2 linked regions of the Arabidopsis thaliana genome follow. The protein of the gene in region 1 interacts with the protein of each later gene in a pairwise test. Each region holds a gene or a part of one and is shown in the gene's direction. Other genes may lie near its edges.

Region 1 (3,553 bases):
AGGTGAAGCTGTGGCGGCTCTCTTCCGTGATTTTGATCTTGCATTGCTTTCTTCTTCGTCTTTGTCGCTTACATTTCTGGATTGAAGGGTTTGGTTGACGTTAAGTAGCAGAACATGACGACTCAATCGAGCCCATTCACGGTCCTTTGAACGGAGCTCATTGACTATTTCCTCTGCCGTTGATCCCTTCTCAGATGACTGGAGAACTAGGTTTTGAAATCTCCGATTTGAAACGCCGCCGCTCCGACCTCTTTTCACCATCGTCGACTTTGGTATTTGTCAAATTATTTAGGTTAAATTTTCGTAGTTATATCTTGACAAGTTCACAATCCATCTTTTGCCGCGTAATTCATATTGGGCTACAATAAAGCCCAATAATAAAGTTTAGTCACAGCTCGTTTGCACAAACCAAAAGACATAGCGATGCGCCGTTGCAGACCAGCTAACATGACATTCATGTAATATATATGCACAATGTATAAAGTATTAAAGTATGAACCACTAAACACAACAATTAAACTCCTTTTCTTTAGCTAAATAAATTGATCATCTATAGTTTATTGGTCATCGTCTTTTGGTCTAAAGCAAAATTCATACGGCGACTATTAATTTTGAAAACAATTTTGGATTTTAACATGAATACCCCAATCAGCAAAACAATAAATAGAAAAATAGAATATGAATGGGATGGGTTTTAGGTCGTGCATGTGCATACATAATTGCAATGGCAGGAATATTAATTGAGGAAGCCTTAATTGGCTATGGTACTGTCCTTAGTCCTTCACGTTTGCATTATATTGTCCTTTTCACCAACGCATCGATAAGCTACCCTTTTTGGTTACTAATCATCGATAGATATAGTCTCAGGCTCTTAGCTTTTCGATGTTTAAACTGAAATTACAAACAAGTACGTCACGGCTAGCATTAGCGTTTGCATAATTAGTTACGTTCAAAACTGGAAAAAAAAAAAATAGTACATCACATTATATTCCTGTTTCTAGTTTTTTTTTTAAAACGCTAGTTTTGTTATTTTGAAATTGTAATGAAGTAAGGCATGCAAATACATTCCGACAATATATAATCAAGTATATTTAATTAGAGTTTTTTGTGTGGCCCGAAAGGTAGTTAGAAAAGTTTACAACTTTGAATCCATGTTGAAAGTTAGATACAGCCTCTATTGCGACTAATGTGTGCCATTAATTTGCATTCATCGGAGTTTTATAACATTTTATATTTGCCATCTTTTTCAAGCTAAACCTGATGAACCAAGAGTTGTTGTTTTTTTATAAAGACCTAGAGTCGTTTCTCTACAACATTTTCTCTAATCTTCAACCAAAATAATATTTGACTTGGACAATAGATGTTATCAAACAAAACAAAAAACCTCGACAAATAATTTGTATTGTATATCTACATAATTTAAACATATATACAACTTATTGACAAAATTTGTTTTAACAAGGTACAACAAATATTTATTCTGTAGCAGACACATTCTTCATATATCGAGACAAACACATCTTACTTTACCCCACGCCTCAAAATCACCTCTTCCTGTATACATTGCATAGATGTACAATAGTATTTGTAAAAGGATATATGTACACTAGCTAAAAATAGTTGTATATACATTTTATATATTGATGTTACAAGAACCAGCCCTAAGATGGAGAATTTAGTGGCTCCAACCACGCATACAAATAAAAATGGTCTAACAATTTTGGATTATTAACGAACAAAATTCTGATTTCAGGTTTAAAACCTCCACCTAATTGGTCTTATATAGACTCTTATGTAATAAACAACACCAAAATAAACTATTTTTTCTTCCAAACCTTAAACAAAAAAACATTGACCCGGTCCAAAACTAGGATCTGTCTAGTGAATCTTAGACGGTTAGACCCATCACAAGACTCTAATATTATAAAGTAGTATATAAATTTATTTATAAAACTCTATATATTTAGTGTAACCATCCATAAATACCCCAAAACCATAACTCAGCATACCCTTCTTCACTATCTCCTCACTCCTCTAGCAAACCACAACAAAAACATAGAAGATAACAAAGAAAACCCCATTTCCCAAGGGAATGGCGATTATAAACCGGAGCAAGCTGACACAAACGACTATGATAAAGCAAATCTTGAAGAGGTGTTCAAGTTTGGGAAAGAAACAGAGCAGTGAGTATAACGATACACATGAACATGATGGAGACTCTCTTCCTCTGGATGTTCCCAAAGGTCACTTCGTGGTCTACGTAGGAGGGAATCGGGTCAGGTACGTCTTACCCATTTCGTTTTTGACCCGACCCGAGTTTCAGCTTCTTCTACAACAAGCTGAGGAAGAGTTTGGCTTCGATCACAACATGGGTCTCACTATCCCTTGTGAGGAAGTAGCTTTCAAATCTCTCATCACCTCTATGCTTCAGCCAACATATATTTAGTGTTTTATTCTTGAGGATAAAGATCTGTTTTAGGTAGCCTTTAAAATTTTAGGTGATTTTGGGGTACAATGGGGGTAAGTGTTTCTATTAGAACGAGACTAACTCTAGAGATGCCTCTAAGAGTGATCTATAAAACCAGTTTGGTTATATTAATTATCTTAGATTTGTAGGGAGGAAAATAAGCAAATACTCTGATAATTTTTCTCGTTGTGGTGGTGTGATTATCTGTACAACCCATTGAGGGACTATTATATAATATCAGTGATGAATGCTATTTTTCTTCTTATAATTTGGTTTTGTCCATTTTCTATCATATATATTCTTGCATATATGATATACTCCATTCAAGGAGTTTAATATAATGTAAATCTGTACATAGTTTAACCAAGTTAAAAGCATGTATAATTTGATCCAAAAAAACTATATTTGTTTCCATTTGAAGAAATGGAAACTCATTTCATTCACACGAGTGGAATTCGCGTTGCATATAGTATGATATCGATTTAGTTTGCTCGCAAAACTTGTTTTACTTTTTGAAGTTTTTAAAAAAGTACGTTACTGTGCGACATCGTCCAAACAAGGAATCCCAAGGCGAAGGATGCCTTCTTTTGGAATCGGCAGTTTTTTAGCCGTTAAAAGTTAAAACTGTTGAACTAATAAATAAATAGTTAAGAAAGCATCGAAATGCTGATTCCAGGATAATGACAAAAAAAATTGACACTATGCATAAACACACACATGCAGAAGCAGGAAAATATAATTTTATTATTCACAATTCTCATGCCCGTTTTCTGGCCTTTCCCTTTATTCACTACAGAAATGCGCTTAGTTGGTAAAAAGAAGACATCTCTGCCATGAAAATAATGTATTTGGCATTGGTAGTAACGTCTGGAATAAAAGTTCTAAAACGATTCCACGAGTTGCTCCAATTTCACCACTTACCAGGGAATAACCAAATCATGATAATTCTATAACAATTTCTACAGAACAATTCTTCGATCTTATGTAACATGTCATCTAAATATCAATATAATTACAAATAATATCACCCGACTATAAATCATGAATTTAGTCACCTAAAGAGATTAAGAATTTATTAGTCACTTG
Region 2 (4,114 bases), about 23 Mb from region 1:
GGTGAAGAGTGTAACCACGAAACCGACTGTACACAAGATTGATTCTGTGAGGAAAGGAACCATCCCTGTGTATGAATATCAATTGCTGGAATCTGCAACAAACAAGTTTAGTGATAGTAATGTGTTGAGCCGAGGTGGTCGTGGATGCCTTTACAGAGCTTGTCTCGATGAAAAATCCTCAGTCACTGTGAAGAAACTTGATGGCGGTGGGGAGACAGACATTGAAAAACAGTTTGAGGTTTGACCCCTAAGATGATTATACAGAATCGCACCATCTCATTCGATAAACCATAACTCGGTTTTTTGCTTTCTCTTGTTGATTTTCTAATGCAGACTGAAGTAGATTGGTTGGCTAAGATCAGGCATCAGAACATAGTTTCCTTATTGGGGTTTTGCGTATATCGGCAAACGAGTTGTATTGTGTATGAGTTGATGCAGAATGGATCTTTGGAGAGTCAGTTACATGGTAAGGGGATATGATCCATGTTTGTTCCATCTTTTGTCATCTGATTTTGATTTTGTTGTGCTTTTGAATGCTCTAAGGGCCTAGTCAAGGTTCAGGTTTAACTTGGCAGCTCAGGATGAAGATAGCGGTTGATATAGCGAGGTAAAGTCCATTCATTGATAATACTTTCAAACATTTAGTAGTTCCATGTGATCTCCAAGAACATATATTTGTATGCTTACAAAGTATTCTTTTTTCATAAAGAGGATTAGAGTATCTTCACGAGCATTGCCATCCTCCTGTAGTTCACAGAGATTTGAAATCATCTAGCATCCTTCTGGACTCCGATTTCAATGCAAAGGTAAAAGAGAAAATGATATAATGTAGAAAATTCTTCTTAGACTTATTGTATTCTCCATACAATATGAGTCTTAAGGATCTGTTGCCACATTTGCTTCTCTTTAGATATCCGATTTTGGGTTTGCCACGGTTTTGACCACGCAGAATAAAAACCTGATACACAAGGCTTCTGAGGATCTTCTTGATGGTAAGGAGTTAATCTTTTTTCGGGGTTCGATCTTGACATATATGCCAAACGAGATGCTCAAATTTCGACCATTCTGTAATCATCTTTCAGGGAAAGTTACAGACAAGAATGATGTCTACTCATTTGGAGTGATCCTGCTCGAACTTCTCCTCGGGAAGAAATCAGTGGAGAAACCGTCTTCTGAACCAGAATCCATCGTTACTTGGGTACATAATAAAACTTTCACGAGATAGTGGCTTCGTTTAGCAGGAAATCCTCTGACTTGTGATCTTTGTTGATCATCAGGCAGTACCTAAGCTGAGTGATAGAGCTAATCTACCAAACATATTGGATCCTGCAATCAAAGGAACCATGGATTTGAAGCATCTATATCAGGTAAAAAAGCTTCAACAAAATCTCACACAGATTTTACGAAAAACACATTAGCCAAATATAGAAGGAAAAAGATTCCTCTTTGAACTTTGTGTTATATTTTCTTTGGACAGGTAGCTGCGGTGGCGGTGTTGTGTGTACAGCCGGAGCCAAGTTACAGACCACTTATAACCGATGTCTTGCACTCACTCATCCCTCTTCTACCAGTAGAACTCGGTGGATCATTGCGGATTTTATAAAAAAACATTTCCCCTTTCTTTTTTTTTTTCTTGTAACAGATCAATGCGTTTATGAATTTGTCTCTTATGTTGGTTCTTCCGGAGAATTTATTGTTGTATGTTTAATCACTGCTACAAAAAATTCGGAAGTTTTGCTTAAATGGAACCGAGAGACAAGTTAGTAGAGTTTGGTTAGTAAAAGTTAAAGGTTTAAAAGCTTTAACATATAAATAAATAAAAACGTTGACTTTTTATAACAGAGTTTGTTGTTGTGGGGAAATGAATTAATTAATGAACCTTATCCGTTTTGTCGATGATCGATAAAATTTTCAATTTCTCGATTCCCAAAGAAAGATATCTGGGAATTAGACAAGGAGTAGTAATATGAAAGATGGAGGATCAGGAAACGAAGCGGATAACCAAAAAACCGTCAAGATCGATCATCATCAGTCTCAAAGATATTCCTCCTCTCGACCCTTCTTCTATTCCCTCTATGGTAAATATTCATTCACTCCAACCATATTCTCTTCTTTCTCGCTAACAAAAAAATTGATCATCTGGGTTTGAAACAGAGAACAATCTCTGCGTTTTCTATTTGTAGATGATTCTTCTTCTGTGATTTGGCTATATCATGGGTTAATAGTAATAAATATCTCAACTTTGCTTCTGTCAATTGTTAGAAACCAATGGCGCAAGATCATCATAATGTGGGAATGCAGAGATTCCAAGAGAAGACTGACTTCAAGTTTGAAGAAGAAGACAATGCCATTTCTTCCTTCTCTAACATTCAAATTGATCCTAACAGCACAAGAAGCATTTCACTAGAGAAGAAGCTTGCTCCTAAACCAGATGAAGAACACACCACCACCACCAAACCCATATCTAAAGGTTCATTCATTTTTTCTTCACCTCTTTTGCTAATTATGATGTAAACTTGTTCGGAAACCAACAGAGATTGCAATTTTTGGTATAGAAGATAGAATTTTGGTCATTTTGTTCTGAAATTTGTGTTCCAGATGATGAATCTAAGACTAGGAGAGGCTCAGCTAAATCGGTGTTACACGAAATGTGTGCTTCCAAGCGTTGGAGACCTCCTGTTTATGAATGCTGCAATGTTGATGGACCTTGCCATTTGAGATTGTAAGTAAACATCTTCTAACCTGCACTTGCTTTTATTTTTTGAGTCGCAATCTTTTTTGCATCAACTTGGTTTTTTGGTTCAGATTTACATACAAAGTTATGGTTGAGATTAGAGATTCTTCAGGGAAAACTGTTTTGGAGTGTTTTGGGGATCCCAGACGCAAAAAGAAAGCTGCTGCTGAGCATGCAGCAGAAGGAGCGCTTTGGTATCTTGAGCATGTGAAGACAAAGCCGCATCAGTAAATCATCATTTAGTCGATATGAAGTAGCTGGAGAGTTTAGTAAAGCCATCTATAGTTAGTTCTAACGAGGGAAGCTTGAACCATATTATACCTATCTTTTAATTCATTATAGCTCTATGGGTTGTAACAGTTTTGATCTGTATCAGAACTTTTCTTTCAAACTTTGTGCCATTATATTTCTCCTTAGTAAGGAGCCTTTATCTTTATCTTTATGTTTATGGAATAGAAGAGCTCAAGTCATCCAAGTTAGAGAAAGCTTTGGAGACTTTGTCTGGTTAGACTGAAGGAGGGAATTCAGTTCAGTGAGATTTGAAACACTGATTTTTCTCATTTGCAACTAAGATTTGAGCATTCTTTTTTTTTTTGGTTTTGTTGCATTCTCTCTTGCGCGGACAGAGACTAGAAGAAACTTACTCAAGAATTCTAAGTAATTGTAAGATCTTATTACTCTTGTAAAAAAGGAAAAAACAAGAATATCTCAAAAATATAAAAAAAGAAGAAGCCACATCCACTGCTAACAAAAGAAACAATTTTCTTTTTGCAGCATTCTCTAATTATGGAAGTGGTTATTTATTCAATACTCTTGTGGGGTTCTAAAACTAAACTGAGAAACACTTGTTTCTGAAATCACAGGGTATAGTGTTGCTGGATAGCCTCAATGTCTAGTCCCTTCTGCTTCACTACTGATTCCACGTGACCTTTCAAGGTGTGACGTTCCCTTAACCTGAAATTTACAAGACAAGAAATGTTTGTAAGCCCATTTTCTGAGGAACCTAATGGTATGGAATAATCAGTTACTTGAGCGTTGCCTTGCAACTTCAGCTCGTCTCTTGGCTTGATCAGCTATCTCTGAAAGCTCTCTGTAAGTGCTCTTGTCATTGAACATATCTGAGGTTTGAGCTGGCTGCAATCCGTGAAGTGTACGTTGCGCTTGTGCCCATTGTGCTTCTCTCTCTCCCTTTCCGTAGTCTTTCTTTGACGTGAAAGCGGTCTGAACAGAGGAACAAAGGTTAGGAAAAAGGATTATACTACTGTGTTCTTGTTCTCATCAGTATTGGCCTGAGAAGCAAACCTTGTTCTCAATGACATTATCCCATGCTCTTCCACTCAGTGAATATCTGATGATGAACTTGAGGATATCCAATGGGAT

What was found.
Region 2: the proteins of AT1G19830 (region 1) and RTL1 interact in a two-hybrid assay, tested with the Arabidopsis thaliana proteins (one large-scale study listed by BioGRID).

What each region holds. Positions count from the first base shown.
Region 1 is NC_003070.9:6,850,138-6,853,690, forward strand, and holds AT1G19830 (SAUR-like auxin-responsive protein family), read left to right. Parts: upstream 1-1,978; 5' UTR 1,979-2,092; coding exon 2,093-2,446; 3' UTR 2,447-2,808; downstream 2,809-3,553. UniProt on the Arabidopsis thaliana protein: Provide a mechanistic link between auxin and plasma membrane H(+)-ATPases (PM H(+)-ATPases, e.g.
Region 2 is NC_003070.9:30,312,636-30,316,749, forward strand, and holds RTL1 (RNAse THREE-like protein 1), read left to right. Parts: upstream 1-1,886; 5' UTR 1,887-1,973; coding exon 1,974-2,078; intron 2,079-2,262; coding exon 2,263-2,470; intron 2,471-2,598; coding exon 2,599-2,722; coding exon of another isoform or gene 2,723-2,726; exon of another isoform or gene 2,727-2,805; coding exon 2,806-2,965; 3' UTR 2,966-3,367; downstream 3,368-4,114. Other genes in the region: AT1G80640 (Protein kinase superfamily protein), read left to right, coding at 1-238, 334-466, 544-607, 710-806, 911-992, 1,083-1,198, 1,278-1,367, 1,478-1,603; HA9 (H[+]-ATPase 9), read right to left, coding at 3,592-3,688, 3,774-3,955, 4,037-4,114.